2 linked regions of the Saccharomyces cerevisiae S288C genome follow. The protein of the gene in region 1 binds, or shares a complex with, the protein of each later gene. Each region holds a gene or a part of one and is shown in the gene's direction. Other genes may lie near its edges.

What was found. The genes of interacting proteins can lie anywhere in the genome.
Region 2: SSL2 (region 1) and TFB4 share a complex: the UniProt entries of both Saccharomyces cerevisiae proteins name them as parts of the 7-subunit TFIIH core complex.

What each region holds. Positions count from the first base shown.
Region 1 is NC_001141.2:80,010-89,552, reverse strand, and holds SSL2 (TFIIH/NER complex ATPase/helicase subunit SSL2), read left to right. Parts: upstream 1-6,511; coding exon 6,512-9,043; downstream 9,044-9,543. Other genes in the region: tropomyosin TPM2, read left to right, coding at 1-323; REV7 (Rev7p), read left to right, coding at 837-1,574; AXL2 (Axl2p), read right to left, coding at 1,716-4,187; chaperonin-containing T-complex subunit CCT2, read right to left, coding at 4,668-6,251; kinetochore-associated Ndc80 complex subunit NDC80, read right to left, coding at 9,404-9,543. UniProt on the Saccharomyces cerevisiae protein: ATP-dependent DNA translocase. Component of the general transcription and DNA repair factor IIH (TFIIH) core complex. When complexed to CDK-activating kinase (CAK), involved in RNA transcription by RNA polymerase II.
Region 2 is NC_001148.4:669,619-674,909, forward strand, and holds TFB4 (TFIIH/NER complex subunit TFB4), read left to right. Parts: upstream 1-1,507; coding exon 1,508-2,524; downstream 2,525-5,291. Other genes in the region: exocyst subunit SEC8, read left to right, coding at 1-1,255; BRR1 (Brr1p), read left to right, coding at 2,853-3,878; YMC1 (organic acid transporter), read left to right, coding at 4,133-5,056; chorismate mutase ARO7, read right to left, coding at 5,243-5,291. UniProt on the Saccharomyces cerevisiae protein: Component of the general transcription and DNA repair factor IIH (TFIIH) core complex, which is involved in general and transcription-coupled nucleotide excision repair (NER) of damaged DNA and, when complexed to TFIIK, in RNA transcription by RNA polymerase II.

The sequences.
Region 1 (9,543 bases):
GTGAAGTGGAGAAGTTAGAGAGTCAATTGTCTGATACAAAGCAATTGGCTGAAGACTCCAATAACTTGAGATCTAATAATGAGAACTACACCAAGAAAAACCAGGATCTAGAACAACAGCTAGAAGACAGTGAAGCCAAACTGAAGGAAGCAATGGATAAACTGAAAGAGGCCGATTTGAACTCTGAGCAAATGGGTAGAAGGATCGTTGCTTTGGAAGAAGAAAGAGATGAATGGGAAAAGAAGTGCGAAGAATTCCAAAGCAAATATGAAGAAGCTCAAAAAGAATTGGACGAAATTGCTAATTCATTGGAAAATTTATGATTCCCATTGATAAGACTAAAATTACGGAAGATACAAACGACAAACGCGCTAAAGGCAACGGAGGTGATGATTTTATTATTGCTCACACAACTGATGTTGCTGACAGATGGCAAATCCTTTTCATTTTAGTTATTATCATTGGGTGCTTTTTGGAAAAAAGATGAACTAAGCCTCTCTTTATTTCGTCCATTTTATTCTAGCTTTTACATTATGCTTTCACCTTTACCAAAAAATAGTATGTATTTCTTTTCCCCTTGCTATAAATCAAAAGTACGTAGAAACATAAACAGGCGAGAAATACATATGCATATACGTCTACACTACTAATTTAATTTCCACTTTCTTAATATCAGTCAATCGAAACCACTAGCTTTCACACTAAGACTAGACCCTGTTTAACTAATATAAACTTTTCCAGAAAGCTAAAAAAAAGGTCGGAAAAAGAAGGTATACGTTTTTGCGACGACTGAGATCCAAGAAGAAAAAAAAAATAGTAATCGTTGCGTCAGCTTTATGAATAGATGGGTAGAGAAGTGGCTGAGGGTATACTTAAAATGCTACATTAATTTGATTTTATTTTATAGAAATGTATACCCACCTCAGTCATTCGACTACACTACTTACCAGTCATTCAACTTGCCGCAGTTCGTTCCCATTAATAGGCATCCTGCTTTAATTGACTATATAGAAGAACTTATACTGGATGTTCTTTCTAAATTAACGCACGTTTACAGATTTTCCATCTGCATTATTAATAAAAAGAACGATTTATGCATTGAAAAATACGTTTTAGATTTTAGTGAATTACAACATGTGGATAAAGACGATCAGATCATTACGGAAACTGAAGTGTTCGACGAATTCCGATCTTCCTTAAATAGTTTGATTATGCATTTGGAGAAATTACCTAAAGTCAACGATGACACAATAACATTTGAAGCAGTTATTAATGCGATCGAATTGGAACTAGGACATAAGTTGGACAGAAACAGGAGGGTCGATAGTTTGGAGGAAAAAGCAGAAATTGAAAGGGATTCAAACTGGGTTAAATGTCAAGAAGATGAAAATTTACCAGACAATAATGGTTTTCAACCTCCTAAAATAAAACTCACTTCTTTAGTCGGTTCTGACGTGGGGCCTTTGATTATTCATCAGTTTAGTGAAAAATTAATCAGCGGTGACGACAAAATTTTGAATGGAGTGTATTCTCAATATGAAGAGGGCGAGAGCATTTTTGGATCTTTGTTTTAAGTGCAAAAATGAAATTTGAAGAATGGAATTAAAATTAAATGTCTCTAAGTATAAAAACTAAATAAAATATAGGGTATCTGTAAACCACTAATAAAAAATAAAACAGGAAAATAAAATTAAGCAAAATATCGTTGCGTATAATCACAGCATTTCTGGGATGCGTCCGTGAATGTCCTTAACTTGACCAACATTGACATTACTCTTATTTGAAAAATCTACTAACCTTTTCTTACTTGGTCTTCTGTCTGGTTCCATGCTATGGACCCAGCAAAAATTTTCACCATCTTTAACCGGAACAAAATCGTCAGAAGATGAAGTTGACATTGTTGTGGGAGTGATTCCGTTTTTACCGCTTTGAGAGTCTTGAATATTTTGTAAGTGGCGGTTACGATGCTTCGTTACGTTATATGGTGATGGTGTTACTGATTTTCTTACGGGAGAAGGGCTAATATTGCTGTTCCAAGGGTCCAGTGAAGACATAGTGACATCCCTTGACGTACGTTTTTCCTTCTCTGGTGCTTCTAAATCGAAAAGTTTTTCTGTATCAACAGTTTTTTGTGATCCGTAACTGTCTCTGACAATATCAGAGACTGGTGACAGGTTGCCAGTATATCGCCAGGATTTATTTACTGCTGGTTCACTATCCATATACACAGAAGAAGACCTATTCTGTGGGTCAAAGAACGGGCTCTCTGGAGGCTGTACTGGGGGTTTTGCTAATAATTCTTCTTTACTTTGGGATTGGAACTGATCATTGTATGTATTCATACCTGATAGAGAATCTCTCTTTTCATCCACGCTGGAAATATCAGATTCAGTGGCAGAGTGGTTATCCAATTTCAAAGTGTTCAAAGCAGCCAATCTTCTTGCTATTGAAGTATCATCGTACGAGGAAGCATCATCATCAAAGGGGTTGTTCAAAGGTGTAGCGTTTTCTTGATTTGGTTTATTTGCAGGATTATTCAAATCAGGTCCACTAATAGCATGCGGTAAGTTTTCATCGTCTGGATTTTCCCTTCTGCGTCTCCAGAATATTAGGAAGCAAATGAGAGCTACTAGGATAACGCCTAATGGGATAGCAACACCGCACGCAATTGCTACTGCTTTTTTATTGTGAGATGAAGTTTTATTGGCTGCTGGCAGCGCTGCTGGAGCAGAAGAAGTAGCAGCAGCGGAGGTAGAAGAAATTTTTGCAGTGTAAGTAGAAGATGTGTAAGAACTTGTTGAGGTGGAGTGGTGAGAACTTCTTGTGGACGTTGCATTCGCACTGTGGTTTGAGTGAGTTATCTTTGAATCCATGCCAATGATGTTAAAATATAGCTCTTGAGATTGTGAACCTTGGTTCGCTTTCAAACCTAATGAAAGCTTGTCGAAATTCTTGGGCACTTCTCCAGCTAATGTTAAATTAGATGATTGGAATTTCACCCAGTCATGGTCTTGGCTTGAATTAGTAAACTCTAATGAAACGTTTGTATTCACGTAGTCTGTAAACTGAGAAGGCAAAAAATAGTAGGAGAACCATTCACCCCTTGTAGCGTTAATATTGGGAAGAGAACTAATGGCAAACAAATCCGTTGTGGAGACAACTTCGAAGTTGAAATAAATCACATCACCATAAGTATCATAAATGGACACAGAAAAATTGGCAGGATTGGAGTTCTTACCGAGTAATTCATCTGGGACAGACCCGGAAATGGTAGCATTATCTAATGCCACCCAGTCTGGAGCATCCAATAAGTTTATAGAACCCAATTTATCAGAAGAAATAGGATCGTCATCGAGATAAACATAGTTTAGAGGTAAGTCATATGAAACGTTACCTGTGTCAGTAACGTTGATTATCAAACTATTTTGAATAGAGGTAGTTAACTGGTGAGCCCCGATGACTAATTCGAATTCTACCTCAACGGCAGAAAATCCTTCAATGTCTGTAGCGATGATGACAAAACTGTAGCTTGTTTCTGGAGCAATCGCCGAGTTTATCACCGGTGCCGTCCCAGTAAACTTCAACTCGCCAGAATCGAAGAACAGCCAATTGGGTAACGGCGCATTATACAACTGAGAACGTCCGTAATACGACACAATGGATTCTTCGTTAGTGAACATTGAACGGTCAAAAGTCACGTTGAAGACTTCATTAGGATCTAGTTTCAGAGCGTTTTTGCCGTTAGTATAACCATAGTTTTTTAACAACGCCAATAGATTGAAATCTGACGATAGCGAGATGGATGGACGGTTTGTAACAACAAATTGGTATGTATTGTTCAAAGACGTGCTGTCGGCAGAGTCCGTACCCTCGAGTATTACATTGAAATACAACGTGGTGTTCGCATCAGATAGTAAGTCAGAAGAAGGTTCACCTGAGAACGTTCTAGAACTAGAGTCAAACGAAAGCCAGCTCGGTAAGTCGAAGCAATTGTATGTTATTTGAGCTGTCTTGTCTACAGACGATTTATAGGTATCATTGGAAATTTGAAATGTAAACGATTCATTGACTCTTGCCACTGGGGGGTATTGTTTTCCGATAGGATATGCCTCATAGGGCGTGGCCACTACTAGATGGAGTAGTGATATAGTAGCTGTCAGCAATAATGAAATCTGAAGCTGTGTCATGGTAAGTGAATGCTTCTTGATATACGTAGATGTTGGAAGCAGGAAATCGTTTCGAGGAAGATATAATTTTTCTATTAAGTAATTGTTCTGTTCTTCTAGTGATGGTGGCTGTTGCAGTGTCAATCACTACAGGATGTGAGAGTAAAGAATAAGAAAATAAGTTCTCATATGAAAAGTGAAAATTACTCGACAAAGGAGGGCGACTCTCGGCAAGGAGCTTTGAGGTTGTGGAGATGCTATCTTTAACCATACCTACGATGGGTATTATTACATTCTTGAGACAGGGCTCGAGTACTGCTCGAAGAGGAAACATAAGTTGCCAAAATTTATTTGTGACGCGAATTGCCAAAAGTTCTATGACGCGTTGTTCTTTTTTTTTCGCGTCTTTGAATTATATAGTGGATAATTTTTGCGTTCTGTTTCTAATTATAATAATGACAGTGTGGCGGTTTATTATTTTCGAGGTATATCCTAAATATGTTACATATGTTGTCTATTGGCGGTTCTTGGTCTTGCACGGATGATGTTATCCACCCTTAGTAGAACTTCAGCGGCTTCAGATGCAGAGCTGACTACTGCTCGTTTTAGCTTGTAACTCTCGACGATACCTAACTGTCTCATGTCGGCAATGGTTCCGTTGTTGAGATCTAAACCTGAGGTGGAGATACCGTTGTATATGGAGGATCTTAGTTTGGACACAAGTTCGCTGCTGTCAAAACCAGCATTATCTGCCAAAATGGTTGGCAGTTGTCTCAGAGCACGGGCAAAAGCCTCCACGGCAAGGGACTTCTTTCCGTCGATGTTTTGAGCTTCGGTGTCCACAGCTTTTGACATGACCATCTCGGCGCAACCGCCGCCAAGAACAGTTCTTGTTTCCTTTGTGGTCTGTGACAACACGGACAATGCGTCATGCAGGGATCTCTCAGCTTCATCAAGCGTTTGGTCGGTAGCACCTCTTAGGACGATGGTACAAGCTTCACCAGCTTTGCAACCACTAAACTTCAAGAATGGCTGTTCACCAAGCATAATTTCCTCGATCACGTCACATTCTCCCAGTTTGCATTTACTTGGCTCGTCAAATGTAGACACCACCTCACCGCCTGTAACCAGGGCGAGCCTTTCTACACCTTCAAAATCAGCATGCTCAATTGAGTTTATGCCCAAATCTGTAAATAATTGCTCTGGATAGTCATAAATTAGTTGTCTATTGATGAAAGTGTTGATACCAAACTTGGAAATCTTGGCAATTTTATTCTTCATCTTTTCACGTTCTGCCTTTTCTAGTTGTGCCAATTTAGCAGTAGAATCGACTTTGAATTTGGTGCCGAATATTTTGACCTTGTCTGTATCCAAAGTTGTATTGGCGATTAGAATCTTAGCATTTTCAATTCTCTTGGGTTGGTTGTTACCAAATTTTTTGGCAAGAATGAAACCTTCGTCAAGGAACGAATCTGATAGCTTTCCACCAAGAATCTTAATGATCTGAATATGTTCTAAGTTAGTGGAGCCCTTCAATCTCAAAATAGCATTAGTTGCTAATTCTGCGAAGTGATCCTTATCCTGAGACAAAATTTTGGAAGATAAAGTAGTCTTGGCAATATGGATCAGATCTTCACGGAACATGGTCTTATCATGAGAGTTGTCAACAGCCGCTTTCGTTAACGCATCCAATGCGGCTGCTGAAGCTAGTCGGTAACCTTCAATAATAGTTTGAGGGTGGATTTTGGATTGATCAATCAACTTCTCTGCTTCTCTAAGCAACTCTGCGCTCAAAACAGTAACACTAGTGGTACCATCTCCAACTTCGTCATCCTGCACCTTACTGATGTTCACCAACACTTTGGCTGCGGGATTATCCAGCGGAATTGACTTCAGAATCGTAGCACCATCGTTTGTTACCATGCAAGTGTTACTGGACGCACTTTGCAATAATTTATCCATCCCTTTTGGGCCTAATGTGCTTTTCACCAAATCACCCACGGCAATGGCACCGACAAACGCCGACAAACGGGCGTTTTCCGCTCTTTCTTCTGTAACCTGGTCTCCAAATATCTGTACACTCATCCTGAATCTTTTGAGCTTTGTACGACTGACTCTTCTTGCCTATTTAATGGCCACCTTTCATCCTCTTTTTTATTGCTCTGCTCTTGTCTTTTAAACTCGCCACCGCGAAGAGAAAAAAATTTCAGATCGTTAGAAACGAGGTTTTTCTTCTAAGAAGTATAAGGAAAAAGGTCCTTAGTAAGGATAGATAATAGTAATGATATCTACATTATTTAGTAAAAGTAGCATCTACTGACGTTGGAATCAGTGGAAGATAAATCATGACGGACGTTGAAGGCTACCAACCTAAGAGCAAGGGGAAAATCTTTCCAGATATGGGTGAGTCCTTTTTCTCATCAGATGAGGATTCACCAGCTACTGATGCAGAGATCGATGAGAACTATGATGATAACAGGGAAACGTCAGAAGGACGTGGAGAAAGGGATACCGGCGCCATGGTAACAGGGTTGAAGAAGCCTCGGAAAAAGACCAAGAGTAGCAGGCATACAGCGGCGGATTCCTCTATGAATCAAATGGACGCTAAGGATAAAGCGCTTTTGCAGGACACTAATAGCGATATACCAGCAGATTTCGTTCCAGATTCCGTCTCTGGAATGTTCAGAAGCCATGACTTTAGTTATTTGCGGTTAAGACCAGACCATGCTTCCAGGCCCCTTTGGATCTCGCCAAGTGACGGTAGGATCATTCTGGAGAGTTTCTCTCCATTAGCAGAACAGGCTCAGGACTTTCTGGTCACCATTGCAGAGCCTATAAGTAGACCCTCCCATATTCATGAATACAAGATCACAGCATACTCTTTGTATGCAGCTGTTTCTGTAGGGTTGGAGACGGATGATATCATTTCAGTTCTGGATAGATTATCCAAAGTACCCGTTGCTGAATCGATAATCAACTTCATTAAAGGGGCTACCATTTCATACGGTAAAGTGAAACTAGTTATTAAGCATAATAGATATTTCGTGGAGACTACACAAGCAGATATTCTGCAAATGTTGCTGAATGATTCCGTCATCGGGCCCCTAAGAATAGATAGCGATCATCAAGTACAGCCACCAGAGGATGTACTACAGCAACAACTTCAGCAAACCGCTGGAAAACCCGCTACTAATGTTAATCCGAACGATGTGGAAGCCGTGTTTAGTGCAGTTATAGGTGGTGATAATGAGCGGGAAGAAGAAGATGATGATATTGATGCCGTTCACTCCTTTGAAATTGCCAATGAGTCTGTTGAAGTCGTAAAGAAAAGATGTCAAGAAATCGATTATCCCGTGTTGGAAGAATACGACTTTAGAAACGACCATAGAAACCCGGATTTAGATATTGATTTGAAACCTTCCACTCAAATCAGACCCTATCAAGAAAAATCGCTGAGTAAAATGTTTGGTAATGGGCGTGCTCGTTCAGGGATTATTGTTTTGCCATGTGGCGCAGGTAAAACTTTGGTCGGTATTACCGCAGCATGTACTATAAAAAAATCCGTAATTGTTTTATGTACTTCATCAGTCTCCGTCATGCAATGGAGGCAGCAATTTTTACAATGGTGTACCTTACAACCTGAAAATTGTGCTGTTTTCACCTCTGATAATAAGGAAATGTTCCAGACAGAATCCGGTTTGGTTGTTTCCACTTATTCAATGGTGGCAAACACAAGAAACAGGTCTCATGATTCACAAAAAGTTATGGATTTCTTGACCGGTAGGGAATGGGGGTTCATTATTCTTGACGAAGTTCATGTGGTGCCCGCCGCAATGTTCCGTAGGGTGGTCTCCACCATCGCAGCACACGCCAAATTGGGACTGACCGCAACGCTGGTTAGAGAAGATGATAAAATTGGTGATCTGAATTTTTTAATTGGTCCAAAACTTTATGAAGCAAATTGGATGGAATTATCCCAAAAAGGACATATTGCAAATGTCCAATGTGCAGAGGTTTGGTGTCCCATGACAGCAGAATTTTACCAAGAGTATTTAAGAGAAACTGCAAGGAAAAGAATGCTACTGTATATCATGAATCCAACAAAGTTTCAGGCATGCCAATTCTTAATTCAATATCACGAAAGGAGGGGTGATAAGATCATCGTTTTTTCAGATAATGTTTACGCCTTACAAGAATATGCTTTGAAAATGGGAAAACCATTTATTTATGGTTCCACACCACAACAAGAGCGTATGAACATTCTGCAAAATTTCCAGTACAATGACCAAATCAATACCATATTTCTATCAAAAGTTGGTGATACTTCCATCGATTTACCAGAAGCTACCTGTTTAATTCAAATATCTTCGCACTATGGGTCTCGTCGTCAAGAAGCCCAAAGATTAGGAAGAATTTTAAGAGCTAAAAGACGTAATGACGAAGGTTTCAATGCGTTCTTTTATTCTCTGGTTTCTAAGGATACGCAAGAAATGTACTACTCAACAAAGAGACAAGCGTTTTTGGTAGATCAAGGTTACGCATTCAAAGTCATTACACATTTACACGGAATGGAGAACATTCCAAATTTGGCATATGCTTCACCCAGAGAACGTAGAGAGCTATTGCAAGAAGTATTATTGAAGAACGAAGAAGCTGCTGGTATCGAGGTCGGTGATGACGCTGACAATTCTGTTGGGAGAGGTTCAAATGGCCACAAAAGATTTAAATCAAAGGCCGTTAGAGGTGAAGGTTCATTGTCTGGTCTTGCTGGCGGTGAAGATATGGCATATATGGAATACAGTACCAATAAAAACAAAGAACTGAAGGAACATCATCCATTAATCAGAAAGATGTATTATAAGAATTTGAAGAAGTGAATAGGCTTGGTTTCATTGTCACCTTCCTATTTTGAATCTATTCAGTCATAATACCTTTTTGTTCCCACCGTCTTCTTATTCTTTCGTCGCTGTTCTTTCTTTTATTGATTCGTCACGTCCATTTTCTTCCATAATATAAAAAATAAAAAAAAAATAGAACATTCCTAATTAAAGCATCCAAATATACTTACATATATTTATTTTAAAAATAACTACATATCAATACTTACTTAAATTGGTTTGGAATACTTGAGAAGGGGAGTGAGGGTGGAATTGAACAAAATGCAGGTTATTAAAATGCGGAAAGGTGGGGCTGAGCTTTGCTGTAGATTGCTCGGGTATTATATATCATTTATTTTATTAATTTGTTACGTTATGTTCAGTTTCAAACTCCAAATTTCGTAACTCTTCAATGACGTTTCCTAATTCGTTTTCAGAGTTTTCCAATGACGATTGAATATTAATTTTAAATTTACTTGTTATATCAATAACATGTATCA
Region 2 (5,291 bases), on another chromosome or scaffold:
AAACACATTTAGAGAAAAAATATCGTACTGCATTCTAGATCTTTTGAATCATTTTTATAATTACTACTTGGGGCTATTTAATTCCTTGATTGGTACTTCTGATAGACATTTAACTAGGAAAATAATTACGGCATGGTTGCAGAATGGTATTTTGATGGATCAAGAACAAAAAATTCTGAATGGGGATGAGACACTCTTTCATGAAGAATCCATAGAGTTATTTAAGGAAATACCTCATTTCTATCAAGCGGGTAAAGGTTTGAGCAAATCTGATTTATTCAATAACTTGACATTGGACACAATTCTGCAGTTTTCGGCAAGCGTGTTATGGATATTAAACTGGCTGCCAGGCTTAAAAAAGGCTATCAATATTGATGAAGTAAGCCAAGAACCCATGTTAGATGCTGATAGATTAAGGAGCAGCTGGACATTTTCTGAATCAATGGATTTAAACTATTCGAACCCTAGTTCCAGCCCAAATTCATTAGGAAATCTAAAAATTTTATTGGATGATAAAGCCTCCAAAAAATTTGATGAGACTATCGACGGATTCAAAACCTTGAAATTCAAACTAATCACTATACTGAGGTTCAACATTAGGGCCTTGTGTATATACGACATCGGGTCTTTTTTTCAAAACACCAAAATTTGGAATATGGATGTGGGTAGTATTGAATTAGATCAAAATATAGCTTCTCTAATTTCCGAATTAAGAAGGACTGAAAGCAAATTGAAACAACAGTTACCAGAAAAGGAAAAAAACTCCATATTTATTGGTCTTGATATAGTCAACAACTACGCCTTGATTAAGGGTGCCAAATCCATAAAAGTTTTGAACCATAACGGGATAAAGAAAATGTTGAGAAATGTAAATGTCTTACAACATGCCTATAGAAATCTTTCTTCTGAACCATCAAAAATTAATATGAACGTCACAATGAATTTTTACTCTTTATGCGGCTCCAGTGAAGCTGAACTATTTGAATATATAAAAGACAATGAATTACCGCATTGTTCTGTCGAAGATTTGAAAACCATATTGAGGCTGCAGTTTAGCGAGGAAATGCATCGTCAATTGAAGAGACAAAGCACTAGCTCAACTAAGGGTTCCATAAAACCTTCCAATAAGAGGTACACTGAAGCTTTGGAGAAACTAAGTAACCTCGAAAAAGAGCAGTCGAAAGAAGGAGCCCGCACCAAGATTGGAAAACTTAAAAGCAAATTGAATGCTGTCCATACTGCAAACGAAAAATGACATTTTTAGTTTGTGTAAAATTAATTTGATAAATAAATGAATGAAAATGATCAATAATAAGCGAATAACTATATTTTTAATTACCTTATTTTTACAATATTTTTCACTTGCACTTTTATTTTATTTTCAGCGCGCAGCTCGTCTTGTTCTGTTGAAATTCAAAGATACCTGAAGGAACATTACAACATCAATCAACACTTGAGTAGAAATATACACGATCCAATAAAATATACTGAAGCGAAGCAATCAGAAATGGATGCAATATCTGATCCAACGTTTAAGCATGCTAGATCAAGAAAACAGGTTACTGAAGAATCACCATCTTTGCTTACCGTTATTATAGAAATTGCACCAAAGTTATGGACAACTTTTGATGAGGAAGGAAATGAGAAAGGAAGTATAATAAAGGTTTTAGAGGCATTGATAGTATTTCTCAATGCTCACTTAGCGTTCAATAGCGCCAACAAAGTAGCAGTCATTGCTGCATACTCTCAGGGAATCAAATATTTATACCCAGAGAGCACATCTGCTCTAAAAGCCTCTGAATCTGAAAATAAAACCCGTAGTGATCTTAAGATTATTAACTCAGATATGTATAGACGTTTTAGAAACGTTGATGAGACGCTAGTGGAAGAAATATATAAACTATTTGAGTTAGAAAAGAAACAAATCGAACAAAATAGTCAAAGGAGCACGCTAGCAGGTGCCATGTCAGCTGGGCTGACTTATGTAAACAGAATATCAAAAGAGTCAGTAACTACCTCATTAAAATCAAGGCTACTTGTTCTTACGTGCGGGAGTGGCAGTAGTAAAGATGAAATTTTCCAATACATCCCTATAATGAACTGTATTTTTTCCGCAACAAAAATGAAATGTCCCATTGATGTCGTAAAGATTGGTGGTTCTAAGGAAAGCACGTTTTTACAGCAAACGACGGATGCCACAAATGGCGTTTATTTACATGTTGAATCTACAGAAGGGCTAATTCAATATTTAGCAACTGCAATGTTTATTGATCCGTCGTTAAGACCTATAATTGTTAAGCCAAACCATGGATCTGTAGATTTTAGGACATCATGCTATTTAACAGGGAGAGTTGTTGCCGTTGGATTCATCTGTTCAGTTTGCCTATGTGTCTTATCAATCATACCGCCCGGAAATAAATGTCCTGCTTGTGATTCTCAATTTGATGAGCACGTAATTGCCAAGTTGAAGAGGAAACCAGTTGTTCCAAGGTTGAAAGCCAAAAAGAAGGTGACGAAACCATGAACGAAAGGAATGAACATTATCCGTTTCAAGCAGGTAACCTTCGTCACAATGCATCGTAATAATACATAAAAAAAAATTAGCTTTAAGCACATGTATATTGGACATTCCACAGAAAAAAAAAAGCTTTTGATGTGATTAGCTTAAGACGTTGTGTCATCTTTGAACTGTTTTGACTTCAATCATATCGAATTTGATAATATAACTATCTATGTACTGTCTGGGTGCATCGCTGTTGTTGCTTCGGTAGATTTATTAGTTCGCTTTGGATAATGTATCATACAATAACATTGCCAACATCCATCATAACAGAAACATTAGGTGATAAACAATGAAAAGAGGAGAAAGCCAGGCGCCTGATGCCATCTTTGGTCAATCTCGTGCATTTGCACTATCTGATTCTTCAGTGAATCCTGATGTCATTGAATATCTTAAAAGTGTTAGGCAAGAAGCACTAAGAACCAACGCCATATCGATTAAGAATCATATGAATCTGCAAAAGAGGACGCGTCACAAATCAAGCATGTACGATGATGAGGATGAGGGGGCCCTTAAAAGGCACGCCATCTCGCCATCCTTGATTAGGCTTCAAAGGAATGTAGAAATATGGGTAAGGTGGTTTAACTCTGTGAAGGCGACGGTGTTGACTAATGCCTACGAGTTTACCGGTTATGAGGACGAAACACTGGATCTTTTATTGCTTTTCTTAAAGAATTATCTCGAAGATATGCCCAGCAAATGTACTACAGTTGAAAAAATTATAAGTGTCCTAAATCAGCATTCCTTTCCTGAGAAGGCAGAAGAGAAGGAAGAAAATCTTCAGATTGATGAGGAATGGGCGAAGAATATTTTGGTACGGCTGGAAAAAACCAAGATTGACAGTGTTGAGGATGTAAAAAAAGTAATCACTGAAGGAGATAAACATGAACTAGTTGGATACAACCAGTGGTTCCAATACCTTATAAACAATGAACCGCAGCATACTACTTTTCATGAAAAGATTACCTCTAAGCAACTTTGGGTTCTGATCAAGTATATGTCGAATACATGGATAAAAGAAATACACAAGAAAGGAAGGCATTATCGTCGGCTGCAAGATTGGCTATTCTACATACTGGTACATACACCCGAAAGAGTCACGGCAGAATATACAAGCATCTTGAGAGATCTTGGAAAGAAATGCCTTGAACTGATTCAAAAGAAGCCAGTTGAAGCACATGAGAATAAAATAACACTCCCGAAGGAGATGGCGGAATTGAATGTTGAGATACCAGCCGCGGTGGAGAATATGACGATAACTGAGCTGACAGTGTCTGTTATAGCAGTGAACTATGGTCAAAAAGACTTGATAGAATAATGTAAATAAATTTCTTATGTAGTTTTTTACAGGAAGTAAAAAGTGTTATTACTTTGATTGACTCATTCTTACATTTACTGATAGGCCGAAGATAAGCGGCGCCCTAAGAAAACTCGAGCGCAAATTGTCAGCGATGATGTAGCCATGCTATAGCATCAATCAATGTCAATAAGCTAATAACAACTATCATCTATACTCCAACGCAGCTCTCTTGTTTAGGTTTCTCGTCAATCAAATTCGCATCACGAAGAAGTATGTCTGAAGAATTTCCATCTCCTCAACTAATCGATGATTTGGAAGAACATCCACAGCATGATAATGCTCGAGTCGTGAAAGATTTGCTTGCAGGTACAGCGGGTGGTATTGCGCAAGTGCTAGTGGGCCAGCCCTTTGATACGACAAAAGTTAGGTTACAAACATCGAGCACCCCAACAACAGCCATGGAAGTCGTCAGAAAGCTGCTTGCCAATGAAGGGCCTCGCGGGTTTTACAAAGGAACTCTGACGCCATTAATTGGTGTTGGTGCATGTGTTTCATTACAATTTGGTGTTAATGAAGCTATGAAGAGATTTTTTCATCATCGCAATGCTGATATGTCATCGACTTTGTCATTGCCACAGTATTACGCATGTGGTGTCACAGGCGGTATAGTAAACTCATTCTTGGCGTCCCCAATTGAGCATGTCAGGATTCGCTTGCAAACACAGACTGGCTCAGGCACCAACGCAGAATTCAAGGGTCCTTTGGAATGCATCAAAAAATTAAGACATAACAAGGCCTTGCTACGTGGTTTAACACCTACAATATTGAGAGAAGGTCATGGATGTGGCACATATTTCTTAGTGTATGAAGCGTTGATTGCTAACCAAATGAACAAAAGACGTGGACTAGAGAGAAAGGACATTCCTGCATGGAAACTTTGTATTTTTGGAGCATTGTCTGGCACTGCCTTATGGTTGATGGTATATCCATTAGATGTCATCAAGTCTGTCATGCAAACGGATAATTTACAAAAGCCTAAATTTGGTAATTCTATTTCCAGTGTAGCCAAGACTTTATATGCCAATGGAGGGATAGGCGCTTTTTTCAAAGGGTTTGGTCCTACCATGCTAAGAGCTGCTCCCGCCAATGGTGCCACTTTTGCTACTTTTGAATTAGCGATGAGGTTATTGGGTTGATAATTCCTATAGAATTTATGAGCCATCGTTTAAGAAAATAGTACAATATAATGTATAACTTGAAACTCTATCTTCTTATATTCAATAGATGCTACTATGCGTACATATATATGGTGAGTGTGTGTGTTTATATATGCGTAGTAATCACTCGGCAATGTGGAATTGTTACCGTGATAGCCTTCATGCTTACTCTTCCAACCTTCTTAGCAAGTATTCCACCTCAACTTCCTTAGTG